Linked DNA regions of Xenopus tropicalis. The protein of the gene in region 1 interacts with the protein of each later gene in a biochemical or structural test. Links are inferred from orthologs where the notes say so. Each region holds a gene or a part of one and is shown on either strand. Other genes may lie near its edges.

Region 1 (5,660 bases):
GCTCAGTTTGTAAGACTATGAGGAAGCTTCCTGCTGATTGGCTCAGATCCACATTCCTAAGGGGGGGGAGTTCTTAGCATTCTTGAGGGAGGGGGGAGCAGGAGAGAGGAGAGAGCTGCGTGTCAATGGCACATTAAAACAAACAGACAAGGAATCCTGTTTCTTTTGAAAGAGAACTCAGTGCAGCATTTCTGTGAGTGCTTATGGCTGTATTTACATAGACCTTTCTGATAAAGCTTACTTAGTTTTTACCTTTCCTTCTCCTTTAAATGTTGCTGGGCTGCAACTTTATTTGTATACCCCAATATATATATATTGTGGATAAGGAATGCTGATAGCTGTAATTCAGCAATATTAGGTATGCATGCTCAAGATAACATGGCTCAATAACACTTACTCCCTGGGGTCAGTTTAATGAATGCAAGGGAATCTCTAGTCCTGACAGCTCTCTGTTTTTTTGACCACAACTGAAAGCATGAAAAGCACATACCCAAATAACACTATGTCCTTCTGGTGTTTGACAACAAATTTGTAATACTGACAGGCCAAAATAAAGTTTCCATGTGATAAACAGTGAGATTTTGTCATTGAATTACATCTGGCTCTATGGGAAAATAAAAATCTGCATTGAATAAGGAAAGGTTTTTGTCATCTAATTGACTGGCTGGGACTTTCAAGGTCTAGGGGTGCAGTGGGTGAGTTTTAGAAAGGTCATTTATTCTTATAAACTTTAACTGAGAAGACTCTCAGTGCAGGATACTAATATTGTAATGTATTTCAATAAATGTATTCCCTTATTATGCAAAACATGAACTTAATAGCAATAGATAAAAGCTTGATAAATTATCTGCTTTGTTAATTTATGAGAATTTGGTACAAACCAAAGTAAATTCCCCTACAGCTAATAATATACCTTAAGGCTCACATGACTGTTAGTCACATGTTAGATCACACAGAACACATCGCAGTTATTTGCATGATTAGGCAGTTTTGGGATTGAAAATTGGTCATCAGGCCCTCTACTATTATAATGTGGTGTTCATTTTGGTATAGGCGTTTTTATTCTGAACAATATCAAGAATATGTTGATCTTATGTTAGTGTACATATTCTGTGAACCTTACCACATACCCCCATATGTAATAAAAGGCACAAAATGTGCCCACGTGCAGTAACCCATAACAGTGGTGTGCTCACTGGCTGTTGCTCTAGAATTCTTGAAAAAATGCTGCATTGTGGGTAAAAACATGGCGATTTGCTCTGATATTTTACACTTTGAATTTTGCAGTACTTTAGTCATGGAGATTTTAGATGCTTTTTTCCATTGTTCTTGCCTTGCTGCTTTTTATGCAGGTACAAGGTTATAACATTTGCTCCAGTCCAGTAGCTCAAAGCAACTGATAAAAACTTAGCTGTAGGTATACGTGGCTTATGTCACATGTGTCTGCACCAGGAGCTGCTGTTTTGGACCAGGTACAGGCACAGAGAATGGATTTCAAAACACTCTGAAATGTGTGAGTAAGCATTTTGGGCCAAAATCTGCTCCATGTAGCTGCACCCGGGCTGATGCAATGGTTCCAGTGCAGACACAAAAGAGCACTGATTAAAGCACAGGAGGAAATTCTTGACCTTCATTTATTTGTCTGATAATCCGCATGTGTGGCATAAGCCTTAATGATCTAATGCAGGGAAAGTAAGCATCTGATTGGCTGTATGTCAGTTTTGCCCATGTTAGTACACCATTAATGCTTCAATTGGCAAATAATGATTTTGTGGATAAGTATGCTTCTATTTGCTGATCATACAATAAAGAAAGCATATTTTTTCCTTGTTTCCTTTTTTTGTTTTTCTTTATTGTTCCTAGCGCTGAAACAAAGGTCATTTGGCACGGTATGCACCAAGACGGAGACTGTGGAATGACACCACTTAGTTGTGGAAACGGAAAGCTAAGGCAGTGGTTGATTGACCAAATTGACAGTGGAAAATACCCTGGATTGGTGTGGGAAAATGAGGAAAGAAGTATTTTTCGTATTCCTTGGAAACATGCAGGAAAACAGGATTATAACCGAGAAGAGGACGCTGCTCTCTTTAAGGTAATATAATTTGTGTACAACTTTCGCTATACTCCAAGTGCTATATCAGCTTTCATTATCTTCTGTAGGCTAAATATGGATGTAATGCAATTATTACAGTACACACAAAGATAGTTCCCAAAATTACCTTTACAGGCCATATATAGACAACACACACATCTCTATGCTAGACTAGTTAGCAGACATTAAAGCCGTAAATAAAGCAGTCATATATATATATATATAGCGGGAGTGCTGGTATTTCTTGAACTAAGTACTGTTAAACTACAACTTGGCACCCAGGTCATGAACTTTTTTGGTACATGCCCTCTAAAATATGCCATAATTAAACATATGTATTGAGTAATAGTCCCAGCAGAATTGGAGTTTTAAATAAATTATTTACATGAATGGCCACTACATCTCTACACTCTCATATTACCCCATATACCAGGGGTCCCCATCCTCTCTTACTCATGAGCTACAGTCAAATGTAAAAAGACTTGGAGAGTAACAAAAGCATCATAAAAGTTCATGGAGGTGCCAAATAAGGGCTAAGATTGGTTATTAGGTAGCCTCTATGCACACTATCAGCTTACAGGAGGCTTTATTCAACCACAATTTGCCACTAAGTCAGAAATTTCAAAATAACTTCCTGCTTTGGGGGCACTGAGAGCAACATTCAAGGGGTTGGGGAGCAACATGTTGCTCACGAGCCACTGGTTGGGGATATACAATACAATATACAATACTGCCATATACAATACTGCGTCAAACTGTTGGCATTTTCATATCCAATATTTTTTGTCTCAATGGGTGTACGAAGAACAACTGAGAAATGAAGGAAATGCTTACATGAGGATCTAGTTGGGCAACTTTAATTATGGAGAGATATAAAAGTAACTGGGTAGCTCCTAAGCTCTAACTTTTTTAGATTTGCAGGACACTAATGGTGATTTCTGAACGTAAAGCAAAATGTCAATGCTAACAAAGCATTGACACAATTCCTGGTATAACAATTTGTTAAAGCTTAACTTAACCAACTAATACAACCAAAGAAGCTTTTTTTAATTTCTTTGTGAACTATTCTCAACCAAATATTATTGGAAGTATTATCAGCTAAATGAAGAAACAAGAGCAGTTATCCCTGACCAGTAACCCAGTAAAACATTTGTGTTAGGGGTGTTACCCTAGCTCGATAGCTATATGAATATCTTTCTTCTGCTCTTTGGGCACTAGGCCTTCTTCTATACTCCTTTTACCTTTCTTTCCTTCTTTCTTACTTATCTTTCCAGAAATAATTCAGCTCTTTCCCATTTATTTTCTGCTCCACCTCTTTCCTTACCTTTTGTAATGCTTGTTCTTCTCTGGTTTTTCTTTTTTGAGTTATCTTCTCCATTTCTATATTTTTTTCCTCAGTTCCCCATCTGCCACCCTGTCTATTATTTCTTTTATTGTCCACTCTTTGTTCTATTTTTTAACCTTTAACATAGTAAGTTGGGTTGAAAAAAGACATATGTCCATCAAGTTCAACCATAATGCCTATATATAACCTACCTAACTACTAGTTGATCCAGAGGAAGGCAAAAAACTCCATCTGAAGCCTCTCTAATTTGCCGCAGAGGGGAAAAAATTCCTTCCTGACTCCAAGATGGCAATCGGACCAGTCCCTGGATCAACTAGTTCTAAGAGCTATCTCCCATACCCCTGTATTCCCTCACTTGCTAAGAATCCATCCAGCCCCTTCTTAAAGCTATATAATGTATCAGCCAGCACGACTGATTCGGGGAGGGAATTCCACAACTTCACAGCTCTCACTGTAAAAAATTCTTTCCAAATATTTAAATGGAACCTCCCTTCTTCTAAACGAAGTGGGTGCCCTCGTGTCCGTTGGAAGGACCTACTGGTAAATAAAACATTAGAGAGGTTATTATATGATCCCTTTATATATTTATACATAGTTATCATGTCACCTCTTAAGCGCCTCTTCTCCAGTGTAAACAGACCCAACTTGGCCAGTCTTTCTTCATAACTGAGACTTTCCATACCCTTAACCAGCTTAGTTGCCCTTCTCTGGACCCTCTCTAACTCAATAATGTCCCGTTTGAGCACTGGAGACCAAAACTGAACAGCATATTCTAGATGGGGCCTTACCAGTGCTCTGTAAAGGGGAAGAATAACCCCCTCCTCCCGTGAATCTAAGCCCCTTTTAATACAGCTCAAAACCTTGTTTGCAAGTTTATTATCTACAAGGACTCCAAGGTCCTTCTCCATTATGGATTTGCCTAGTGCAGTCCCATTAAGGTTATACGGGGCTTGCATATTTTTACATCCCAGGTGCATGACCTTACATTTATCCACATTAAATCTCATCTGCCACTTAGCTGCCCAGATTGCCAGTTGGTCAAGATCCTGCTGCAGGGATGCCACATCCTGGATAGAATTGACTGGTCTGCAGAGTTTTGTGTCATCTGCAAACACTGATACATTACTCATAATACCCTCCCCTAAGTCATTTATGAACAAATTAAACAAAAGTGGACCCAGTACAGAACCCTGAGGGACCCCACTGAGGACCTTATTCCAAGTAGAGAATGTACCATTAACAACCACCCTCTGTACCCGATCCTGTAGCCAGTTTTCTATCCATGTGCAAACGACTTCACTAAGACCAATAGACCTTAGCTTAGAAAGCAGTCGTTTGTGGGGAACGGTATCAAATGCTTTGGCAAAATCCAAATAGATTATATCTACTGCATCCCCACTGTCCAGCTTCTTACTTACCTCATCATAAAAAGCAATTAAATTGGTCTGACATGACCTGTCCTTCATAAAGCCATGCTGATTACTGCTCATAACGGCATTCTCCACTACATAATTTTGAATGTGATCCCTTAACAAGCCTTCAAATAACTTGCCCACCACGGATGTCAAACTTACAGGCCTATAATTGCCAGGCTGAGATCTTACTCCCTTTTTAAATATGGGAATGACATTCGCCTTCTTCCAATCCCTAGGTACCATACCTGATGAAAGAGAGTCTGAGAATATCAGAAACAAGGGCCACTGCAATTCTGCCCCTAGCTCTCTCAGTACCCGAGGGTGTATTCCATCTGGCCCAGGTGCCTTGTTTACATTTATCGTGTGTAACCCTTTAAGCACCATATCCTGTGCCAGCCACTGTGTAGTTGGAGCTGAGGCAACAGTGAAGCTATTGGGTGGGACTTGGCCCACTGGCTCCTCTACTGTATACACAGAAGAAAAGAACTGGTTAAGCACATCTGCCTTTTCTGTATCCGCTGTAACCATATTGTTACTATAACTCAATGGGGCCACACCCTCAACCTGCATCTTTTTACTATTAATATACTTAAAAAACTTTTTGGGGTTAGTCTTGGCCTCGGCCGTGATGCGCTCCTCATTTTCTATCTTTGCCTTCCGGATTGCTGTTTTACAACACTTGTTATAGTGTTTATAATCATTAAACGCAGCTACTGTCCCCTCTGACTTATATTTCTTAAAAGCTTTCCTTTTTTTCCCTATTAACTTCTTTACCTCAGAGTTAAGCCACATAGGGTGAATCTTAACA
Region 2 (5,735 bases), on another chromosome or scaffold:
TTGGATTCGATTGGATTGTTACACCACTGCTACTGTATCCCATATTGTAAGCTCTTATCAGCTCATTTCCTATAATGAACTCTTCTGCAGCACTACTGCCCAATCTATCTGAAGAAAATATATTTTCTGTTTAGGAAAACAGCCCTTTTTGAGTACAGCTGCACCACACTGAGAAAGACCCATCTTCTAATGTAGGGCAGTGGTTGTTGGACTCTTTCAGTTTAAGCCGCCCTTGGAGGCTCAACCTTTGGCCCAAGATACAGAAAAACATTGGTGTATCAGTCTTTCAGTCATAGTTCCAAGAATATCTAGGGCAGATTATAAGTTTTTGCCCCAAACAGTGGCATAACATAACAGAGCAAACCTCCCCCCCAGCTTGCATCTTCTGGCCCAATTCCCACCCAGCTTGGGCCACTGCTCCACACCCCCAGAGAAGCCAAACTTCCAGTTTTGGTACCACTGATATGAGGTGTCTAAAGTGTATTCTACTCTTACTCACGGGCAAACCAGACATGAAAAAACACCAACTTGAGAAGACTGAGGTTTCCCCAGTTCAACCTAAAACCTTTCTCAACATGAAGGGGAACATGGGTGACTGCAATCTAATTTCCAGGGAGAGTCCCACTTCTTGTAAATATTTTTCCCATGTTTCCAATGTTTCTTATAAAGTAACCAGCTTACTTTCAAACTTCCAGCAATAACAAAGCAACTGTGAGGCTTGTTCTGTTGGTCAAACTATTGGAACATAAATGCTGTCATATGGTTATTTTCTCTAATTTGTCTCAGGAAAATAATAATTGATGAATGTCAATATTTTCTTTTTGCTTTTCCAACCCAGTTTCTATGAACATTTCACTGGCTGCCCTTCCGTTTTTAGGTTTATGGCCTGCGCTTGACTAAATGCCCTTCCCAATCTGAAATTGCCATTCTGAGGGCTAATTGGAGTGCCATTCAGGACTAATGTTTACTGCCTCTCCTAGAAGCACTATTAAGATAATATATGGTGTGAACACATATTTCTTTACTTTTTTATAGGTTAAGTAGATCCTAAATGAATGTTGGTCCACAAAGAAGCATTGCCCCCTCCTCTGACCTAAATTTTCCAGTTTAATATTACTCTAATAAGCATTTGGCTTCATAACTCTGCCCAGTACAATTTGTACTCCCATAAACACCTGCCTATAGGCTTTATGCCACATGGGTTCTTGTGATCGACAATATCCTCTTGGTTGTCCCTGAGAGGAAAAGGGGGATCACAAGACTTAGAAGCTTCCAACCAACTGGAACTAAAGGCTCATTGCCACAAGTACAGACCATAAAATAACATGGATGATGGAACTTGCGTTAGATATAGAAGCCCAGGGACTGAATTGGTTATCCGTAAAATGTTAAATGGTGCCACCCCTGCCCTATTTCTAAGAGGAAATATAAGGATATAGGTCTATAGGCTGCCAATTTAGTCAAAGTCCATGACCAACTGGTATCCCAGATGCCTACCAAAGGTGCTGTGCTAGTTTATTTTCCAAGAATGTTTCATGTTTTGCAACTGTTATGAAATCAACCTCACTTTGAATGTGAACCCAACAGATGGTCAGTTCTTCTCACATGGTCAAGAGGCAGGATCTTTTCAAATGGACTAAAAATACAAGATCTATGTCTGACAAGTATAGTTTCTACCATAAGGCATATAGAGAAACATGCATGGGGCAGCACTCCAGCAGGTGTGGCAAAAAATGGGCAGCATGAAAAGATACCAGCACTGAACGTAGCTGAACTGGAACCACACAAAGTTTCAAGCTTCATGTGGGTAATAAAACAATGTAAAATGTTATGAGTAGCGGCTTTGCGGATTATTGAGTAAATTAGGAAAAACCTCTCTATGAGGAATTGAGAAAGCCTCAGTGGCCCTTCCACACAATTGACCACATTTTGAAATCATCTGAATGTAGAAATTAGCCAGCCATCACGCACGGCACCAGGACTTAAAGGCTCATTTAAGGAGGACAGTGTTGGACTGGGCCCAACAAAGTACCTGACATTGAGGGCTCACAACAATTAGGTGTAGACAGTGCCTAATGAAAAAGAAGTCATATAGACCTATGGTGGAAAAAGGAAAGGGCTGATGGGAATTGGCTTGACCTTGGTTCGAGACCACCAAGTACTCGTGTAGGCCAATCTGACCATGAGAGGGGTGCCTGGTGCAAAGTCCAAATCACCATACATTCTAGCACAGTGATCCCCAACCAGTAGCTCACATGTTGCTCACCAACCCCTTGAATGTTGCTCCCAGTGGCCTCAAATCAGGTCCTTATTTTTGATTTCCTTGCTTGGAGGCACACTTCGGTTGCATAAAAACTGACAAACACAACCTCCTTTAGCCTGCCAGTCCATAGAGGGTCTATCAAATACCCAATAACCCTTGTTTGGCACCTCCATGAACTTATTTATGCTTGCATTGCTCCCCAACTCTTTTTACCTTTGAATGTGGCCCATGGGTAAAAAAGTTTGGGGATCCCTGTTCTAGCACACTGGGCATTTGACAGACTATATATGACTCCCTTTGTAGCACCTAGCTCTGGCTTGCACAGCATCTTAGCTCTTCATTATGGATCGCACAAAGTTGTAGCTGACTGGCACATTCACACAACTTGTACTTAGTATGTTACCATTAATTGCACCTTATTCATAAAGCTCAAGTAGGAGCACATTAAGACGTATGGTGAATCTCTGTAATGGAGTAGCTCACCTTGAAATAAACTCTTAGTATGTTGTATACCAGTGGTCCCCAACCAGTGGTTCGTAAGCAACATGTTGTTTCTTCACCCCCTTTGAAGTTGCTCTCAGTGGCCTCAAAGTTGGTGCCCATTTTTGAATTTCTGGCTTGGAGGCAAGTTTTGGAAGCATAAAGACCATGTGTACTGCAAACAGAGCCTCCTGAAATCCACAAGGGTCTACCGATAACCAATCACAGCCCTTATTGGGCACCCGCTAGGATCACGTTTGTGTTTCTAACTTTTTTATATTTAACTATGGCTCACAGGTAAAAATGGTTGGGGACCCCTGGCATAGACAGTAGTATTTGAAAACAATCTACAATCAGTCTTAATTTTTTAATTACCCTAGCAACCCAGTATCATTTTGGAAATCAGGATGGAATTTGAACGGGGGGGGGGGTCCTAATTAGAAAGATGAACCCAACAAATAAGTACAACAGTAATGGTCAGGTTTTTTTTCGGTTGCCAGGGTCAATGGAATGGATCAATGTACAACCTGGCGCTCTGGTTTGGCACAATGTTGGTATAATAGAATTATATAACACTGAGATTGGTGCAGAACCCTGCATGGCCCTAAGGGGCCACCACATATAACAGCTGTATTGATCTTTAACTTAATTTTATTAAACCCTATAAACAATACAAGAAATACAGATGAACCAATTTCGTGGCCTAGCCCTCCAGTTGGCTACATTCACTTTCCCTTGCACCCTCGCTGCTGCCCCTGTGATAGAGATACTGTTGAAGATTTTCAAACACCAATAAGCTCAGCCTACCTTAAAGGGCACCGTGCTCCATTTGCAGTTCATTCTGTTCTCTCCACCAATCAAATCACAGCCATTAGCCGCTCTCTGTAGAAGGCACTTCCAGTCCTGGGTCCTGTTGTATGAGAAGCCCCCCGAGAGCTGAAGAAGAACCCTAGGACCCAGACCCGCTCCCCAGCTACATACTGGGGACACAAAGAAAAGGCTGCTTTTAAATTTAAAGGGGGAAGTGAGTTGACTTCCCTTATATTGCTACGGAAAGTAGTAACTTCTCTGTGCCATTACTTCTCCTAACTGGCCCCTGTACAGCAATATATGCATCCCTGTGTGTCAGGAAGGGATTCGTGCAGGGGAGCTTACAGTCTAATTACTAAGTGATAGTCATGGATACACTGCCTATGTTCATAATAGAGATCTGGGGCAGCAACCTGACCCTCTTTTATATATACAAGCAGACTATATACATTAAAGGGGATACAAACCCAAATATACAAACCCAAATAAATAACGTTTTGACTAATGAAAGAAAATGCTAATTCTAAGCCACTTTCCAATATACATGTTACCAATGTTCAATGGATTTAAAGTTATTTGTAAATGTCGTTGCTATAGAAAGTCATACTTTGATTAGGCAAAACATCCATTGTGGGTTTATATCCCCTTTATTATACTGGGGGTTACATACCCTCAGACTATATACCATAAAGGGGTCACAAACCCAAAAATAATATTTTGACGAATGAAAGAAAATGCTAATTCTAAGCAACTCTCCAATCCACGTTACTAATGTTCAATGGATTAAGAGTTATTTGTAAATATTATCACTATAGAAAGTCATACTTTTTTTAACTAGGCAACACATTCATTGAGAGTTGATATCCCCTTTAATATTTGGGGGGGTTACATTTTCAATCAGACAAACACAGGGTCGGACTGGGGGGTGAAGGGCCCACCCGACGTCCTCCCCTGAGCGTATAAAATTAATGCGTCAGGGCAGGAGTGGTCGGGAAGGGGGGCCGCTGCAAGTGCCTAGTCTGACCCTGGCCAAACAGCATACACCATGTTATAGAAATCAACAGCCCTGCTTTCCAATTCATACAGTTCAGCCTCTGGCCCCTCCCCTAAAGCCCCAAACCACCCAGAATCCACCTAAAACTTACCCTTTCTCTTTCCCTGATCCTGTTTGAGAGATAGTTCCCCCTCTTTCATCATCACCCCACCCCTTCTATATCACAAATCTCCCCTTGTAGCCTTGCAGAGCATTCTGGGGTCAGTGACCCCCTTTTGAAAGCTGAAAGGAGGCAGAAAATGAAGGCAAATAATTCAAATAATACAAAAAATAAAGACCAACTGGAAAGTTGCTAAGAATAGGCCATTCTATAACATAGGTGAAAAACTTAAAAACTTGATCAAATGCAATTTAACACTACTTTGGTCCCATGCAGGAGTCGCCCTACCCCTCTCCTGAGATGTGCCACCCACACACCCAAATACCGCCCCCACATACCTAATGATAACAAGCACAGTGGGACTGGACCTGTCCCTACACCATACTGGCTTCATACCGGCCCATAAGGATTCAACTGCACCTGCCCCTGGTTGGCTATTGCCACCAGATAGAAGCAGGCATCATTCTTAGTAATCATTTCCCCTTTACTTTCCTCTTCCTATAAATGTTTATATGGCCATAGTTTTGGGGCAGAAAACTGCCACTTCCAGCAAGAATGTGACACATCCCGCAGTCGGCACTCGGGGTGACAATAGCCCATGTTCTAGGGGAGTCACTAAAATTTCCCATGACTGGGGTGAGTTTTCCAGAGACATGCAGGGGAATATGTGGCCCTACCACGGTCGTGGCCGCCCTTGTGGGTGCAGAGCCAGGGGGATATACCCCTTTTTTTGTTGGACCTTGTTATTTACAGGCAGCTTTGGCATGTGGGATTCGAACGTAGGGGGCATTTCTGGCATAAACAGTCGCTGCCTCCAACTGGGCCAGGGAACAGTAAGAATGATTTATCTGTGTGATGAGTGCATGGGAGCTTTAGTGTAATATAAAGCTTTAGTGTAATATAAAGCTTTAGTGTAGCCTTTACTATTCCTATTACGATTCAGCGGAGTCTGTTTGGCAGGGCATCTGTGTATTCTGAGTCGTGCAACCAATTACTTGTCCTTGTGTCTGAGGGTTTATCTGTTCAGG
Region 3 (4,945 bases), on another chromosome or scaffold:
GTACAACTGCTTTTCCTTCCAAATTCCAGCAATTGTTTTATTTGATAATTAATTTGCCGCAAATTTTTTTACTTATTTTGCTTTCAATGTGTCATGAACTAATTGTGAATTTGGATCCTTTAGAATGTATATTGCTTGGCTGAGGACAATCATTTTTATTCAGATTACAACAGATTTTTGAGAACATAATTTATTATATAAATGAAGATTTAGGTTTGGCTTGTTGCTCAGTCATATCTGTGGAGGATTTGACATTTGGGTAACATTATTCAAATCTGATACATATATTCAGACATCAGTGAATACCTACCCGCCAGCAACCTTTAATGTTATCAGTGTTGGGGTGTATCCATCTGGCGTTTTTGATGTTTTTTCTAAGTAAATAAGGAGGTTAATGCAGCAAAGTTGAAATTTGTAAAACAGATCTAAACTGCAAAGTAAATGATTTGCTTAGCACACTGTGTAGAGAGCCGTAGTTGTGAATGTACTAAAATACCACAAATACAGGTATGGGACCTGTTATCCAGAATGCTCAGGACCTGGGGTTTTCCAGATAATGTCTGTAATTTGTATCTCCATGCCAAGTCTATTAAAAGGTCATTTGAACACTTAATAAACCCAGTAGGATTGTTTTGCCTCCAATAAGGATAAATTGTGTCTTAACTGGGATCAAGTAGAAGCTACTGTTTTATTTTTACAGGGAAAAAGGAAATCATTTTCAAAAATTTGAATTACTTTATTAAAATGGAGTCTTTGGGAGCTGGCCTTCCTGTAATTTGGAGCTATCTGGATAACAAGTTTCCAGATAACAGATCCCTTACCTGTACAAACTCACCACACACCATCACCATATATATTACACTGTTCCACACAAAGATCTTTATCGCTTCCATGTGTCCTTATGCTTACATGGAACTTATCCTCTGAACAGGCTGGTTCAGACAGCAATATGAAGAAGCAATAGCAATTTAGTGGATCTGGAAATGTAGCAGTGCTGGCCATAGCTGTAGTGAATCGAAGGACTGGATTCTCTTTCAGCTGAAGGCAATTCACAATGCAGTCTGCTGTAACAGTAACCTGACAGCAGCTTCACCGACATGCTTGATTTATTCCCACAGGAGAAGAAAGAGATGGAAGACAGACCAAACTCCTCTTGCACTATGAACCTGTTGGTCTTGTGTCTATAAAATCGGGCTTTGGTCTTAAAGATCTCTCATCTTCATTACAACACAACAACTACAACAGGAGAGCATCTGCCTGTGAGAGACTTTGGCAGATTATCCAACAAAGCTTGGAGGTGCCAGCTAATGAAAAACATGGCCACAAGTAGATAGTTAAGGCCACCATATGGGGTTTACAATGGGCAGTATTGTGGCTTATAATCACCTAGTTATTCTAACTAAACCTTCCTAACGTCAATGCTACAGCGTGGGCTAGACCGAGCGCTGGCAATTTCTTTCTGTGTTTTGTGTAACCAAACCTTCCTGTTTATGAAAATGTATTCACTAGCACAGATAAAACTACTAGTTAGGGCAGGGGATGAGCACTGATTTTTCTCTGAGGCAATTTTGACCAGGGCAATTGCACTTCCATTATTCTTGTGCTCCCAAAACCTCCTTTGTATTTTTTAGTAGACGGAAGGGAGGCATTGTTTATGATGGAATGTTGGATGGCTTAGGATGTTTTATTTCTCTGTAATCATCAGTGTCAGCACAATAATATCAGGTTGTCCATAATCTTGCATTAATCATTAGAGTAAGCTTTAGACTCTGCTGAACTGCAACATCCCACATGCCATTCCCACCTCAGCAACAAACAGCTACAGTTTAATGCCACTGCCATTTAAAGAGGTTTTGTTACATTAGACAAGAGGATAAATACATTCTCTACCTACTTGTAATAAATTATGGGAACTATTGCTAACATTAAAAAAAAAATCTTAACAGTATTATACTGTAAGAGAAATATATTTAGGGGATATATTATAAGAGGGGCACAGCAATCCCTAGCAACCAGTCTGCACTTTGTGTTTCTACTGTAATTAGTAAATATTTTGTTAGTTGCTAGTTATTATCTTTGAGCAAGTTTTGTCCCTTTTTTTCCCCCATAATTATCATAATCTTGGAGGAAAAGCAGCATTAAACACAAATGCACCAGGTCAATGCTAAGCATGAAAAGAATGCAACAAGTAATAGGTTTATCCTACTAACAATACACTCACTAACAAGAAACACTATAAAGGATTACATACTTGAGTAGTGTCTTCCAAAGACATCATCTTTGGGTTTATTACTGTACAAATATTTTAGCTGTTTTAGATCTCTGACACGGTCACCAAGAGAAAGGATATTCAGATCTTTAGCAGTGAATGGCTGGATATTCTGGATCTGAGCAGAACCTTAAAAACAGCAAAATAAATATAGTGATGTAAAGAACTGCATAAAATACTAGCAGTGTGTACACTTTATAGGCATGTAGTACTCGGTAAAATTTGACCCCTTAATAATGCACTGTTTGGGGATTGATTGAGTAACCCATCCAGGGTGTGAAGGAATTGGGATAAATGAATCCTTCAAAAAGAGCGGAAGTGGATTTTGCAGTTGAACACAGTAATCCAATAAAGGAAGATTTATTTTAAAGGAGAGAGAAAAGGAATAATCACTGGGGGTTGCCAAATGTTAGGCACCCCCAGTGATTGTAATCACTAACCTGATACCCCAGGCTGGTTCTTTTGTTAGCAGAAGACTGCACCAGTCTGGAGTAATTCTGTAGAAGCTGATCCCCAGTGGGGGATCTTCTTTCCTTGGGGTGCGGGCAGGAGAACATGCAGTAGAATGAAGAAGTCGACTTTTTTCTTAAAGTTCAGCTTTTTACTCTACTGCGCATAGGGACCCACACAAAGAAAGATAAAGCAAGAGGAGGATCGCACCGGGGTTCTCCTCCAGAATTACCCTGGGCTGGTGCAGGTTTCTGCTAACAGGAGCACTGCTTCAGGGTATCAGGTAAGTGCTTACAATCCAAAATTATTTTTTTGTCTAGGAACAATTAAATAGCCATTAAAGATGACACAAAAATTACACTTGGGGATGTTTTGGTTTGTAATATTGTATATGCGGAACTGTAACATTCTTTGTTTTCAGGAAAACTCACCATCCTCTCTCTTTAAAATATGTGCTATGGTGATGCCACCAATCTCTGAGTCACTGAAACGCAGGAGGAAGGTTCCATCAGGCTGAGTACTTAGTATATTGTGAACATACTGCTTGCTGATAAAGCCCATAATTAACCTGAAGCATAAAAAAGAGTCACATAGAATAGCATGCTACGGTAGCTCGGATTTTGTCATCTCTTTATTCATACACTGACTTTCAGGAAGAAACACAGAGAGCTGCTACACTTACAGCAGCCCAAAGATTGGGGATGTGTTAAGAAATGTGAGGAAAAAGACTATTTATGCAGTACTAGTAAGTGTGAAATATGGGACAAAAGGAACAAGGGATAAATACTTTAATTATGATTCTGAGACCCTAGCCTTACAGCCAATGCATGGCCCCTAGGGTAGCAAACATAAGATATACTTTTCACATTTATCTCACCTGTCAGACCAGTAATCTTTTAAACACTTTTTGGTGAGATCCACAACACCATCAAACCACTGCCAAAATGTAAAGTTCCTTTCCCGAAGAGGCTCCTTTAAAAAAGTAAAAAAAAGGATGAAAAATCTTCTAAAAGTCAAGTATACTAAAAAAAAATGATTGGTTGTATGTACAAACCCCAACAATTTAATGAGGAATAAACACTCTACTTGAACCTCACATGCAATATTGCTTAGTGGAGTATATTGCTAAAAGAACTGAAATAACTGTCAGGATCCATTACTAAGCAAGCACGATGGTACTCTCACATACTAGAATAACACATGGCTCATCAAGGTCTCCTTACCTTATTGAACTGAGTCCATGAAACCATGCGGTCTTTGTTGTCACTTAAGCTGTTGTCATTGAAGATCTTTTGGGCAAGAAAAACAAAGTGTTCTTCTTGCAGCTCTTGCTTTGTACCCACTTCAGACACAAATTTCATATTTAAAGTATGGCACATCTTGGGCCACGGCACTTTTTCCTCAACAAAGAAGGGGCGACGTTCCTAAGACATAAAGACATAAACATTTACAATAGCAGACTACTTGCCTTCTAAAAGCTTGGAGAGATGCTCATTAGCAGAGATCAGAAAAAAATCTATTGCCACAGTTGAATTGTTTTAGTACAGGTTAGCTCCATAGAATCATTCATAGTTGATGAACTAATAAGTAAACTAGGGATACACCGAATCCACTATTTTAGGGTCTGGCCAAACCCAGAATCCTTTGGGAAGTATTCGGCCGAATACTGAACTAAATTAGAACCCTAATTTGCATAGGATAAGGAAGGCAATCACACACAAAGCGTGTTATAAAAAATTAATTTTCAACCTCTGTGTTTATGTGACGTGATTTTAATCATTTGGATTCTGTTTGGCCAGAGGCATGGATTCGGATCATGCTGAATTTGAATCATGCTGAAAAGGCCGAATCTTGGCTGAATCCAGATTTGGTGAATCCCTAAAGTAAACTAATAGCTCTTTCTTCTGTGCAACAGATCTTTTGTAATAAAGGGTTACAATTAAAATATGCAATTATTAAACCATTCCATGGTCATAAACTTAGTCCTTTCACTTAAGTACAAATTCTTAGGATTGCACAATTGTGCATTTCTATGATTATTGTTATATCAAACAGTAACATAGGTGTCAGTGGCAAGACTGTTAAGGTGGCCATACACGCACCGATATTATCGTACGAAACCTCGTTTCGTACGATAATCGGTGCGTGTATGGCATGTCAGCGAGCCGACCGATATCGCAGGAAGCTGCTGAAATCGGTCGGCTCGCCGATCGGCCAAGTTAGAAA

The links.
Region 2: the proteins of irf4 (region 1) and spi1 are reported together in a solved structure, tested with the Homo sapiens proteins (2 studies listed by BioGRID, with this or other methods). The link is inferred for Xenopus tropicalis from reciprocal best matches to the Homo sapiens genes IRF4 and SPI1.
Region 3: the proteins of irf4 (region 1) and stat6 form a complex in vitro, tested with the Homo sapiens proteins (2 studies listed by BioGRID). The link is inferred for Xenopus tropicalis from reciprocal best matches to the Homo sapiens genes IRF4 and STAT6.

The regions. Positions count from the first base shown.
Region 1 is NC_030682.2:87,214,311-87,219,970, reverse strand, and holds the start of irf4 (interferon regulatory factor 4), read left to right. Parts: upstream 1-1,793; 5' UTR 1,794-1,891; coding exon 1,892-2,092; intron 2,093-5,660. UniProt on the Homo sapiens protein: Transcriptional activator. Binds to the interferon-stimulated response element (ISRE) of the MHC class I promoter. Binds the immunoglobulin lambda light chain enhancer, together with PU.1.
Region 2 is NC_030680.2:15,891,582-15,897,316, forward strand, and holds the start of spi1 (transcription factor PU.1), read right to left. Parts: upstream 3,727-5,735; 5' UTR 3,584-3,726; coding exon 3,551-3,583; intron 1-3,550. UniProt on the Homo sapiens protein: Pioneer transcription factor, which controls hematopoietic cell fate by decompacting stem cell heterochromatin and allowing other transcription factors to enter otherwise inaccessible genomic sites.
Region 3 is NC_030678.2:139,265,591-139,270,535, forward strand, and holds part of stat6 (signal transducer and activator of transcription 6), read right to left. Parts: intron 4,144-4,945; coding exon 3,943-4,143; intron 3,692-3,942; coding exon 3,597-3,691; intron 3,288-3,596; coding exon 3,151-3,287; intron 2,399-3,150; coding exon 2,252-2,398; intron 375-2,251; coding exon 311-374; intron 1-310. UniProt on the Homo sapiens protein: Carries out a dual function: signal transduction and activation of transcription. Involved in IL4/interleukin-4- and IL3/interleukin-3-mediated signaling.